Neodiprion lecontei: one gene and its partner. The protein of the gene in region 2 interacts with the protein of the main gene of each other region in a biochemical or structural test. Links are inferred from orthologs where the notes say so. Each region holds a gene or a part of one and is shown on either strand. Other genes may lie near its edges.

The links.
Region 1: the proteins of protein TRC8 homolog (region 2) and COP9 signalosome complex subunit 5 form a complex in vitro, tested with the Drosophila melanogaster proteins (2 studies listed by BioGRID). The link is inferred for Neodiprion lecontei from reciprocal best matches to the Drosophila melanogaster genes Trc8 and CSN5.

The regions. Positions count from the first base shown.
Region 1 is NC_060264.1:28,330,545-28,336,302, reverse strand, and holds COP9 signalosome complex subunit 5, read right to left. Parts: upstream 3,748-5,758; 5' UTR 3,613-3,747; intron 3,301-3,612; 5' UTR 3,281-3,300; coding exon 3,129-3,280; intron 2,959-3,128; coding exon 2,724-2,958; intron 2,590-2,723; coding exon 2,395-2,589; intron 2,303-2,394; coding exon 1,856-2,302; 3' UTR 1,080-1,855; downstream 1-1,079. Other genes in the region: transmembrane protein 65, read left to right, coding at 4,589-4,675, 4,854-5,277. UniProt on the Drosophila melanogaster protein: Probable protease subunit of the COP9 signalosome complex (CSN), a complex involved in various cellular and developmental processes.
Region 2 is NC_060262.1:4,895,484-4,902,959, reverse strand, and holds protein TRC8 homolog, read right to left. Parts: upstream 5,503-7,476; coding exon 5,211-5,502; intron 4,761-5,210; coding exon 4,390-4,760; intron 4,180-4,389; coding exon 2,776-4,179; 3' UTR 1,154-2,775; downstream 1-1,153. Other genes in the region: ATP-dependent RNA helicase abstrakt, read left to right, coding at 7,256-7,291, 7,471-7,476. UniProt on the Drosophila melanogaster protein: Plays a role in growth inhibition that is dependent upon COP9 signalosome subunits CSN5 and CSN6. May modulate signalosome levels or compartmentalization. Probably functions in the same or a related pathway to VHL during early midline development.

The DNA.
Region 1 (5,758 bases), on a different chromosome or scaffold from region 2:
TTGCCCCGCTCTGTTGATTTGATACTTGACTCGGTTTTCCCTTCTTCGTTTTGATTGAAAATGAACTCAATTACTTTGTACATATTAGATAGAAATTGTCATGCCAAACGTGACTATATTATATACAATAAATAATTGGGGCTCATGAACATTGTTTTTTTTTTTTTGTTTATTTTTAATTTTTGGCAGGGGGCCAGGGGGGAGGGATATTTGTAGTACTACGTGTATGATAATTTTGTTAATTATCGTAAATAACATTGCTACAATCGTTTTATGTACAATTATAACTATCTATCAAGTTATGTTGGATAAAATGATTTAATGCGATTCACCCAACTAATAGGAATGAGTTGCTAGAATCCTTGTTAGACGTAGAATCCTTGATTAATTATTATCATTGGAGGGCTGAGGACTGAATATTAAAACATTTGCTACTCATGTCATAATTTTACATCCCAAATTATACGTATGTACGTAACAAATGCGGGAACTATTAAGGTCTTGAAGACCGAGGATTCCCTTTATAAATTACAGCATTGTATTGTACCGAATCCCCCTGACAATCCCAAGTTTTTCCTCTCTCTGGATTCTGCTACATTTAAATTCTATCGTACCTCGTCTCCACTATTACTGTATTTGGACTATAATTTTTAATATTTGTTATTATATATTCATTTAGCTGCACCAATGAATCGCTAATTCACGCGTTTAATATAATGTATGAATACGTATAATATTTATTTTATCGCTGTTGTATGCTTACATCGTTGCGTTAGGCACTTTTGCAAATTCAAAAAAAAAAGATTTTGCTTCAATATTTGCTTAAGTGTTGTTTATCGAAAGGCAGAGAGAGGTAATTATGATGTCAGTTGAGCTGTAGTTGAAAGAAATCATATATGTGCCTGGAAATTGGCAATTAAATATTAATGGCAAGGTTGTACTTAAAGTATTGTAAAGATAAATTTACAAAAAAAAAACATATTAATCTTGTAACTTTAAGTTACTGCTTGGTTACAAAGGATTGTGGACATGCACTATTGCACCGATTTTATCGGTAGTTAGGATTTTTCGTATATTAGGTCCGTCCCTTGTGAATTGTGTTCGTAACGGGTGATTGCAGTTAATCTGCAGGATACGTGTAACTGAGTGTATGCATGATTATGTTGACAAAGAAGTTTCAGCCCTCCAATAGGGATGAACCCTGCCTACTTGTTCTCATAATTATTTGAGTTTTATATAAATATATACGCATTTATAAATATATGTATATACATACCTATGTGTAAATGTGTGTATATTTATCGGTTACAATGATAATGGATAATGATAAAGATGCTGTATATACTTTTTAGTGAGTCAAGGTGTGAAAATAAAACGTATTTTTATTCCACAATAATTGAATACTGTTACTTTGTATTACATAAAACTTTGACTTGTTACTGTAATTACTGTTTAAAAGCACTGCGCTGAAAGACAAAATGAATTTATTGGGAAGTTTGTGCCTGTGTGTGAATTCATGAATATACTACTGCAACTCAGCAGCTTCAACTGTACAAGTCATAATTCATTGGAATATATGTGGAGTAGGATACTACAAAGTCATAACAGATTCTTATAAAAATTTTGACATCTAGTAAACTTTGCATTTTTAAATAAAATAATGTATAGGGACAGAAGTAGTTACGATTTGGTAACCAGTTACATTATCACCTCTGATTTGTAATATTCTCATTATGATTGGAATGATTTTCGTATTGAACATAGTAAATTTGTTGCAAATCACAATATTATTATTTATTTATCTTTTTAATAATAGGTATACAATAGAAAAACTGCACTGTAAGAGAAAATAAGCTTAAGAGTCTTTTTTGCCGGTTCCAAATTGATTGAAAAGTCTATCTTTGATAACTTGAGCCATAAGACCATGTATAACTTCAATTGTAGTTTTACAGCTATCTCTTGTCGTTTTGACGAGTTTGTCCTCGCTCCGACGGTCGTAAGGATCATTAGATCCGGCGAGCATGTTTCCTCGACCAAGTGCTGCTTCAGACTGTTCCAGTTTGTCGGAAAGATCAAATATCTGTCCAGTCGTGTAGTCGGCATTCGTCAACAAACTGGACGAGCTCAACGTGTTAACCCAGTACTTATTCCAGAGAGAATCAAGCAGTCGACGATCAAGGGAGGATTTGAAATACGTTACTTCCAAGGAATAGTACTGCTTGCAGTGTACTCCAAAGTCTTCGATTTTATTCAACGGTATTGTTTGGTACTCTGATGGCTCGTCGTTGGGTGGTTTATAACCCTGTGGGAATTAAACGGCACGAAAATAATTAAATCAAAAAAATTCAGGTATAATTTCCTAGTAATTGTGTTCAAATCATTTATTATATTAACCTTGGGATATGTTCTGAAAGCTCCAAGGCATACTTTTCCAGCTGAAATAGTTCTAACAGGGTCAATTACAATCGCTACGAATGGTTCTTGAAAATTTTGATTCAACATCTGAGTGGAGACGTCAATTCCTGATAACCAGCATCCGTAACCCGGGTGACTGTGATACCAACCGATGGCATTTTCGTGACGGGCAACCTGAAAAAATGTCGTCAGTCCCATTTTTTTGTCTACTCTGTAATACAGTTGTAGAATGTATCAGTATTGATTCAGCCAATGGAGGTGAAAGTCTTGGCACATTTTACAACCCAAAAATATTGATTCACCATTACCTGTTTAGCAGCCTCGATGTAAGCGGTCATATATTCGTATGCTTGGGCCTGGGCATTGACTCGAGTTTCAGTACCCTCAACGGGAAGAGCGAACGAATCCATGACGAGCATAGTATTCGCCGTTACTTTTCCCAAGAGTAATCCCATGACCTCAAGAGTTCCGCCGGATCGGGCATGCATAACCATCTTCAGCAAAGCTAGCGCCGATATTTTGATGTCTTTGAAGAAGTGAGGACTGAAAAGATCAAATTTTAGTCAATAATAGATCAGTTACTTGATAGTTATTACTAAATTAGAGACGGATATGGTAAAAACACGAAAAAAAAATTGCAGACGTGTTCAGTATAGATTGATGAGTGGATTTTCTCTCGGATATTGAAATAACTGAGCAGGCATAGTTCATACTCTTTTTCCCATGGTTTCGCAGCGAGTATATCAAGCTGCTCCTGACGATCGTATCGATAGATTTCATCTGCTGTGCTTATGGTCTCAACGTTATTTGTCATTTCCCATGTTTTCTGTGCCGTGGACGACTGATCGCTCGACGTGCTTGCCATTATTAACGATCTTCTTTATCCTGGAAACAGAAATTGACATTTGATGAACATAAACGGATTTTTCTATCTGCCTAATACCGCTGGATAAATGGATGGATGGATGGATGGATGGATGGATGGATGACTATAAATTGATCGCTTTTATTATTTGTGGAGAACTTAACGGAAAATAATTCGCAAAAACGTGAAATGTGAATATCGAACAGAAATACGGTGCGGCAGTTGAGTTTATGTAAAGTAAACTTATTATAAAAATTCGTATCAAATATCGACAGAGTAGTTAGCCAAACTGTAGAAAACTATGGATCAGAACAGTTGACTAAAATCCATACCCGTATATACTTCTTGAAAATAATCTTTTCGAAAAGAAACTCTTCGACGGTCGTAAACAAACCTAACTTAAATATCTTCTCGAATTCGCATATCCACTAGTTTTGCAGTAGGGGTCACTGTTGTCGATGCTTAGTTCAAAAAAAATCCGTCACGAATTGCTCGCTCTGAGGGCGCTGTAAATCAAATTGAAAAACAAATGAGACTCATCATGAAATTAGTCATCTCATTGTGTATTTTCTGTGCAGAGATTACTGATCAGTGTTGTACTTATATTGCGTACTCTAAATTTTATTACTCCCTTTTACAATTCATTTCTTTAACGGAATCATGAATGAAATTTTATCATTGCGCGATTTGCTTTTGCGTGAATCATTCGTGACTGAGAATTAATTAAAAAGGTTTTAATTCGTTGTATCAGTTATCGCAGTTGTAATTAAAATTCGTTTGAACGATATCATTGCAGATTGGATATTTCATACACGTTAATTTTTTTATTGCCATTTCGTCAAATACGGCAAATATGGAAGCATAGCCGGAGTTGTGTTATCCCAGTAAACTAAATCGAATTGCACACGGTAAAATAGGAATTAACATGAATTATAACAAATTCAAAAGAATTAGCCCATAAAACATTTCAATTTGCATTAATTCTAATTAACTGCGTTTTTGGACGTACTCAATTCTATTCAATTCATTTTGGTTTACTTGGATCCCGCCTTACGGCATTAAACTACGAAGAATAGGGAAAACCGAAGACAGAAATTTATTATATACTAATAATACATAAGGAAGAATCGAAAATCCCACGTACTCATCCGAGAAATGAAGGGATCGCAGAACAGGGAATTGGATCAACTCCGTGGACATACATCCAGGAAATTTGAATATGTATACATCACCGACGAATCAGAATGGGTAGGGCAGGGGTGGGGGGAGGGGGAGGGGGAGGAGTCGTCGCATCGACGCGAGCGGCTGATGCCGGTAGAGAGCGTAGGTCACCGCAGGGGATCTAGACTCCGGTCAGTCAGTCAGTCAGTCAGTGAGCCCAGATTCGCAGAGTCGGTGAGTTGTGTTCGAGCGTGCAACGTAAATGTTCAGTCGATAAAGAGTGCCATAGATATAAATAGGTGCCGCATAGATAGTATTGAAAAGCGAATGAATATATTATTGGTTGTAAAATCAAAAGAGTAGAGTAAAAAGTTTCGAAACGAGAATGAGTGGACCTGTGACGTCATTGCAGTGTTTGGCGAAGTTTGGGCCCGGAATCGGTGCATCAACGTTGAGAAAACTGTCGATATATGACAATTATTCCCATACCATGTGCTGTGGCAGTGAATTATATTTAATGTCTAAAAAATCCTCGAGCAGCTCGTCGTCGTGCTGCAGGACTCCGAATAAGCGCATGTTACCGACGTCACGGGGGTCAACGGACCTCCGATTGCGGGCATCTATGACAACGGGGGTTTCCCCCTCGGCTACTACAGCTACCACAAGTACTGCTACTGCTGGTGCTCCACGGAACGTCGAGACCCCCGAGACCCCGCCGATTTTATCTAAGCAACAGGCGAGGGATCTCGCTGTACGCCTGACACCCGAGGAGAGGGACGTGCTCATATCGGCACTGCAGGAAACTCAGTCTCAAAAAGTAAAAGCAGAGTATGAAGGTACGAATGATACCGATTCGACGATGTCACTGGATGTATTTGCCCCCTGTGATAAATGTAGTGCGTAGCTTGCCAAGACGAATCGGGGAGAAAGAGAGGCGACCTCGTTATACATAAAACATGCGTTTCTTTCATTTTCTTTCTTTCTTTCTTTCTTTCTAATGTCGAAGCGATTTACCCGTTCCGTGTTCACTCATTTACGATAATATGTCTGTATTGTTGTTCTAAATCCTATAAATTGATACCCTGAGTAATTTGGTATTGTTAATGACTCCGCAGATGTAAAAAAAAATTCACAACAAAGATACGTAATAGTAGATCAGTATTATGGATATTCCTAATTTTCTCACGTGTCGAAAAATCACCGTTGCTACGTTACGCGCGGCTTTAACACGTGCGTGCGTGTGTACTCAGGCATATAGAAAAGTCATGTCAGGTCCGAAGCGAGGTGTAATTCCCGGATGGGTAGCCAGGTGGATAT
Region 2 (7,476 bases):
TCAAACATACGTACAAACATCTTATTGCGATGAAAACAATCAACGAACGAACCAATTTCTGTAATAACAATAATCAAAGATATAATTTATTCATTAATGTTTCTGTGATAGTCGAAGAGAAGTAAAATTAGAAATTGGGGTGCAAATATGAGAAAACGTACGTAAACAGAGCGCGTGCACTGTTTGAATGTTTTTTTTTTCTTTCTTTTTTTTTTTTTTTTTCTTTGTCCTATCAAGACAAAAATTGCGGAACGTTATAGTTAATGTGGAAAGATTGAGCGGGGAAAATCAGCATGACGAAAATTACTATTGCTGCATTCATTAGTTATAACGGCGTTGCAAACTGCGCAGGTTACATCACATCCTGCTTAAAGCTTGGATGATGAACAGAAATTGCAATAATTTTGCACGTCACCTTCCGCGGTCACGTTAACAATAAGTGTATTGCACAAATGTTAATACGCAGATAAGTACAACAAAATGGTCGCATTCGAGATATTTTTTTAAATACATGTTTCCTGTACACGTCTGATATCCGTGCATAAAAATTTCACATCGATTGACTATTTTATACTTTTATATTCACGGAGTCACGAATTTTGTGAAACCTTTGATGAATTATTTTGCGATACAGAGAGTACTTTCACAGTTTGAAGATAATGCGAATTACACGTTGTTTAAATATCGTCAATTACGCGGTAGTTGGTTTCTTTTTTTTTTTTTTTTTGCTTTTGCATAATTCTGGAGAAATGAAATATTTTTATAAATATAAAAGAGGGTTTACGATTCATTGACGTTCATTTATAAAATATATTGTTTATTATACATATAAGATATTATATTTCTCGCTTAATTATATCTATCAAAATATGATATTATTATTATTATTATTTTTATTACTGAAAGGTGCGATATAGAGCATATTTATGTGTATGCGTGATGGGTATACAGGAATATAAACGTACTACTACCTATAGTTTGTATTTATGTTTAGTATACAATGGTACTTGCGCGAAATGAAACGCATATACGTTAATAATTGTTTCGGGTATGAACGAATCAGGGACTCGGATAATATGAAAATGAAACATATAAATTCACAAAACAGAAAAGAAACAAATCAAAGGTCTATACGTACCTATTGGTTATTTACAACCACCGGTTAATATTAGTCGTATTTTTGTTTTTTTGGTGTTTTTTTTTTTTTTTGTGCTTAGCATATATATACACATACGAATACCCATCAAAAATTAAACTTTACACATTATACATTATGCCTATATTTGCTGCACTTGTTGTATTTAAATGAATACACAAATACAGGTGAAACGTGTGTTTATACGGAGATTAAAACACACGTAATAATACGTATCGTATTGCGGTACGAATTTCTTTTCGATTGGTTTTAATTTTTTTTTGTCTTTAACATTTCACACTGTGTTGTTTGACTCGTTTCACATTTCTCGTTCTCTCTTCTTTTTGGTCGTTTTATCGTTACTCAATGCATTTTCTTTCCTTACCTCATCGGTCATTCTGTATTAGATACGTAAATTAATTCATCGATGACAAGTAGGTAGAACGTAACATGTAAAGTAAATTATTATTTTTTTCCAACAACATCGTGGTTTATTCCCGTTAATCGATCAAGGAATAATCATTTATACGTATATTATATGGGCTACCGACGAAGATTTGGTATGAGTAAAAAGGAAGAAAACTAATTATCGTCTTTATTTAGTGTAAAAAAGAATGAAATAAAGACGCAAATCGCGTTTTAAAGTAAAGCGAGGTAAGGATTGTTCCTACAAGAATATTTACTACAATATAAGAAAAGTGTAGAAAGAAAAAAAATGTTGAAACTTTTCTTTTTTTACAGAAAAATTCCATTTTCGGAATTTAGGAAGTACCGCGAGAGAAATTACGGATTGAGAGAGAGAGAGACACATGTAAGTAGCAATTGTATAGAAATGTAAGCTCATGTTATACATAATATAATTAAGGCGATACTATACGATCACAGAATAATTAATCCAAATTAATAATTGACGTACATGTATAGCGGCTTACATTTATAATAAAGTATTGGATAGATTTCTAAATTATTATCATTATTATTATTTTTTTTATATGAGTATATAATAATAATAATAATGATGATGATGATAATATACATAATATACATGATATAAAATATGTGGAAGTTAGTTCCTATAATTTCTATCGTCGTTATTATCTCTATTTACCTACCTTATAGTTACATAAATAATAAATTGTTTCATTTTCTTCGTTTCTTGTTTTCCTTTCTTTCGTCGCTAGTTTTCTATTTTTAACGGTATTTTTCGTATTTTTTTTCTTCTTCGATTTGGTAGGATTGTATGACATACAAGAGTTTAAAATGTATGGACATGGCGAATTATCCATCTATCTAAACCCGGAAGTATGATAAAGTGTGATACGAAACGTGTCTAATAATAGTAATAATATTAATAACAATAACAACAACAATAATAATAATAATAATAATAAACTTGCACATCGATTGTTGATTCTGAGGAACGGAACAGAGGGGAAGAAAAAAGACAAAAAATTAAATATAGTAAAAGAAACAATAAGAAAGAAGGAAGAAAAGAACAGTAGCCTTGGTCAAATTACACTTGGACTTGAAACGATACCCTCGCACAGTGTGACAATATCAAACTCCATTGTATAACATGAAATAACAATATAATTTATTTTTTATAATAATTATATCACAATATAGCTAGACGTTAAGCTTCACCTGTCTTCGTTAAGCTGTTCAACGTATCGTCTATAGTTCGGACTTCGCAATCCGTTCCTCTGCAGTCCCTGGTTCTGGTACAACTCATCGATTTCATCTTCGTTTCGCCTCTCCTGATCAGTGAGAGCAGAGACATTGTCTTTGCTGTCTTGCGGACTGTCAACTTTGTACAAAATATCATGGCACAGCGGACAGCGATCCTGAACGTACAACCACTTTCTTAGACAAACGCCGTGGAAGTAGTGATTGCACCTGGTTATTTTAGCGCTTGACATTTCCTGGTAGCAAATAGCGCAAACGTCGTCGAGCTGCATAAGCTGCTCGGTCCTCGCCTCTGGCAGCGAGTTTATCTTGTTCACGGCCGTTCTCCTCTTCATGAATACGCTCCATCCGGCCTTTGCTTCGCACCATATGTTGAAGTAGGCGTGCACACACATCATGACTGCTCTTATTAGTCCGCCCGACTCGTACACGAGGATCCATAGGCCGTTGAAGAACAGAAAGATCCCGAATGCAAATTCCACGGTGTTACCGAAGGCGCGTATGTAGTAAACGTAGTCGTCCAATTGTTCCCAGAACGTGTGACGGCACGCGTCGTAAAGGAACAGCGAGTATATCGCCAGCGATACGAGGACTTTTACTATAACCTCTATGCTAAAAGCCGAGACAGCGAGCAGCCAAGTGCTGACCGAGTATTGCGACCACAGCAATACGAGGAGATAAACCGGAAACATAATCAGAAAGGCGCAGACCAACAGTGCTCGGAAGTGCCTGTGAAGAGCGGGATTGTGCGACGCGCTCAGCGACATCAGTAGAGGATTGACTATATTGTGAACAAAGTGGAGAAGCGCTGTGAACAGGAGGCAAAAGTTTCGGCACAATCTTACCAACCGCATTTCTCTGTCCAGACTGGTCAATCCTGTTTGGAGAGCCAGGATGTAGAAAAGAATCGCCGATACCGTTCCGATGCTCTTGCTGTCCTCCTCGTCATCGTTAAGTAATATCCATTGGAAGAAGCAACCGATGTAGTGGCAGATGAACGATATCACGCTCGTCATTCCTAGAACAGCTGTAAGCGTCTCGCAGCCGTTTATCAACAGAGTCCTGACCATCACGTAATACGTGAACGTATCTTCCCCGTAGTGGTTTCCCATTATTTGTATAACTTGCTCGCCCACTCTAAGCATCCAAAAAATCCGCAGAACGCAGGGCACGTTCAGCCGACTCCATTCCGCCTCCACCAACGCCGAGAGACCGTAGCTGCTGATAAACGTTCGAGCGTGCTGGTAACCTGAGTATATGATGCGGCCCATCGCCACCGAGTTGTACCAAATTACGAACTTTGACACTGCGAGCGGAAGCAGGGTTGCGAAGACTGGAGCATGGTTCAGAACTGTAATCTGTGAAACGAAATTTCTAACTGTTAGATGGTAAAAGAAATGCCAAACCGATCATCTTCGTTTTGTTGATAAATTTTCAGGAATGGTTTCAAGGCTGATGCTAAACTTATTGGGCGAAGAAAGTGAATATAAATCGAGGTGACCATGCTAGTCCAAATGTCAACCGTTATTCGAAACACACCATATTTCAATTTCTCAATCGTAACTCACGGGTATCGGAAGAACTGCGAATATGGAAGGAGCCATGAAACTGAAGACGAGAGACTTCTGTATAATGGAAAATCTCGGAGCAAGGTGAACGTAGCAGAAGATAAGGGCGAGAGTGCACTGGAGGATGTAGTTCCGGATGACAACGACTCCCGGTCCGTCAGGATTCAGCACCTTGGGTATATCCAGACACAGCACATCGTCCAGGATACTCGTCGCTGTCTCATTTGCGGTGGCGTACCAGATGACCGCCTTCATGGTGCTGACGTTCGACCAATATGACACGAATATCACACCGACCGATATCAGGTAGAGGTAAACGACGACGAGGTGTTTCTTTTGCAGCATAATGCCGCAAAGTGCTGCCTCGCATGCTGGAATAGAGAGAAATAGAACGTTGCCGGAAAGGAGAAACAAAAAGCGACGAAGCAGCGAAGCGATCTTTCCACGAATCTCTCTATAACTATACATAAGGTAGTTGAAATCATCCAGTGATTTAACGTGATGTACAACAAAACTGAAACGGTTATTGATACTTGCATAGCTACTGTTTGCATTTCTTTTATGCCTCATTTTGATAAAAATACTTCCTTTAATTTGACCTTCTCCTTCATAAATTTTCTAAGCGAGTAAATACCTTCTAAGTGACTTGCAAAGTCAAGTGCCCCACATAATTTATTCATTGACCTGTTTCAGTTACCGCTTTTAAAAACTACAGCAGTGAGCCAAGTTTTAATCGTTGGTTGTGCATAGAACGGAAATAACTGATAGCAGGTTTGTAAAAGGGTAACCGATAATGAGGTTTTTTTACTTTGGCTCCTTACCTAAACAGCACAAGATGAATTTAAAGAGCGTGAGTAAGTACGACTGGTAGATGTGCTGACTCAAGTTTAGCTGGTGGAGCAAACCGACCTCGGGTGTAATGCCAACCAGCGAACCAACAATGGAATCAGGAACGCTGACGACTTTGAATTCATTGTTGACGTCTTCAAGGACTATGTTTTCGCCGGGCAAGCCAAGGCCGATCCTGAGCAGTTCGTCGATAATGAAAAGCGGCGGAACCCTCATAACGACATCGGCGAAATTAAGCGCCTTATTTCTAATGGTGGTCAACATATTTTCCAAATCTTTAAGGACGTCAGAAAGGTCGACTATTTTGCACTTTCTCTTTCCTTGGGTAAGGCTACTTTTTTTTTTTATTATCAACTCTCCATACTTCCAGTCTCTCCCAGATTAGCGAATTTTCTTGTCTTTTTTTTTCTTTTATTCTATCTAGTTTCACTTTCTTCCGTATGATAATAAAATTTCTACAGTTTTCCCCACGACGATACTTCGGTTTAATCGAGAATTATATTTTCCTCAAATTTTGTTAAATTAATGAACCCTGTTGTCATAATTGGCACGGTTACGCTGAGCACTTTCCCTTCGATTTATTTCACAACGATTTTGATTATTTATTAATTTGATCAGTCAAAGGTCGCCTGCTAATTTATTTATTCATGTATTTATGTACACAAAATTCCAGATTATTAATCGAGGTTACAAAACACGCTGCAGTTCTCAGCCTGCCTGCCAGCCAGCAACACCAGCTGCGCATCACCAACCAACCAGCAGGTCTTGACTTTTTAAACTACATGCTATGCAGCAACAGATGGAGCTTGCTGCCTGCGGTGAAAAACTTTCAACCGTACAATAGATGTTTTTTTATTTTCGTTATCTTATCGCGTTAGTATAAATAACGGTTATTGACGAACGAGAGAACGAAAACAAAAGGGAAACGGAGAAAGAGTTTTAGTTGATAAGTACTTTACATAATATACATCGATTTCCTTATTTATTTCTCATATGACGCATTTTTTATTTTTTTTTACACCCACCTCGCATCGCCCGTTAAAATTCTATTTACACGCCGAGTTTGCGCCAGATTTTTCGAATAGTTATTCGTATACAGTCTCGAACTGCGATATGTGCGTGTATGTTATCTTCGCGGAAGATTTCGCCGTCACGATCCGTTTACTCATTCTCATATCGCAGACAGATGAACATGTATCAACCTTTTACGGACGGGCAAAATTTCAGTTAAAATCGACTTTGTGTTAGAACGTGATATTTATGTATGATTTCAATGATTTCAATGATTTGAAGTTCCCAACCTGACTGCTGGATGATATATCGACTAGCCCCGCCGTTAAGAGGTTAAATAATTTCCACTAAATGCACGAAATATTCGTGAGGACCTGTGGGTCCGCGATCGATCACGGGATGGCGGTTTAGTGTGGCGAATCAATTTTTTTCACTCCAACTAGCCAGCCTGTCAAACCCGTCGATTTTATCTTGCAGCAGCTGTCTGTGCAGCTGATGTATACCGCGGTGTTTGTAGCATATAGAGAGTAAACACAGCCGCCATAAATAGCTGTCACTTTGCCGTACGTACTTCTTTTTGACCGACTGAAACGTCACTCGTTGCAATTTGCCGGAAGAAAATAAAACTCACATTTAGGAAAATATTTGCACCCGGAAAATTATGATTCATCTTAATGAATATTTTCACTTCAAATCACTCTGCTACTGATAAATTATTCAATGTGAGAACGGAAAATCATCCGGCAATTCGGTTATTTAGTTTTTCCGAGGTACTTATTTTTGGTTAGTGACAGTTCGGAGTCACGTTCATTCCGTCGGTAATTCAGTCACGTACTTTCGCCCTGCGTTTCATAACCGTATGTTCTTTATTGGTTATGTTTTTCAGTCACAACTCACATCTGACGTTCAGTTTCGTTTGCACTTTATCTCCGTAGTGATAATCTAAATTCAAACGTGGAATCAAATAAACAAACTACAGTGTGAATACTTTCATTCCCTGGGGGCGATGGGAGAACGAAGTGATCGAAGTTCACCTCCAAAGGTGATTGTTTCATTGTTAATAAGCCATATTTACAGGTTGTATCAAATGAGACTAAACGTACACCTGTTAGTTTACATGCAACTGTACCACGGTGTGCTGTGATCTAAAACTGTGTTACTCGTATCATTTTTGTGTACTTACGTTTATTCGATATTCATTTACTCATTGTAACATGACAGAGATCC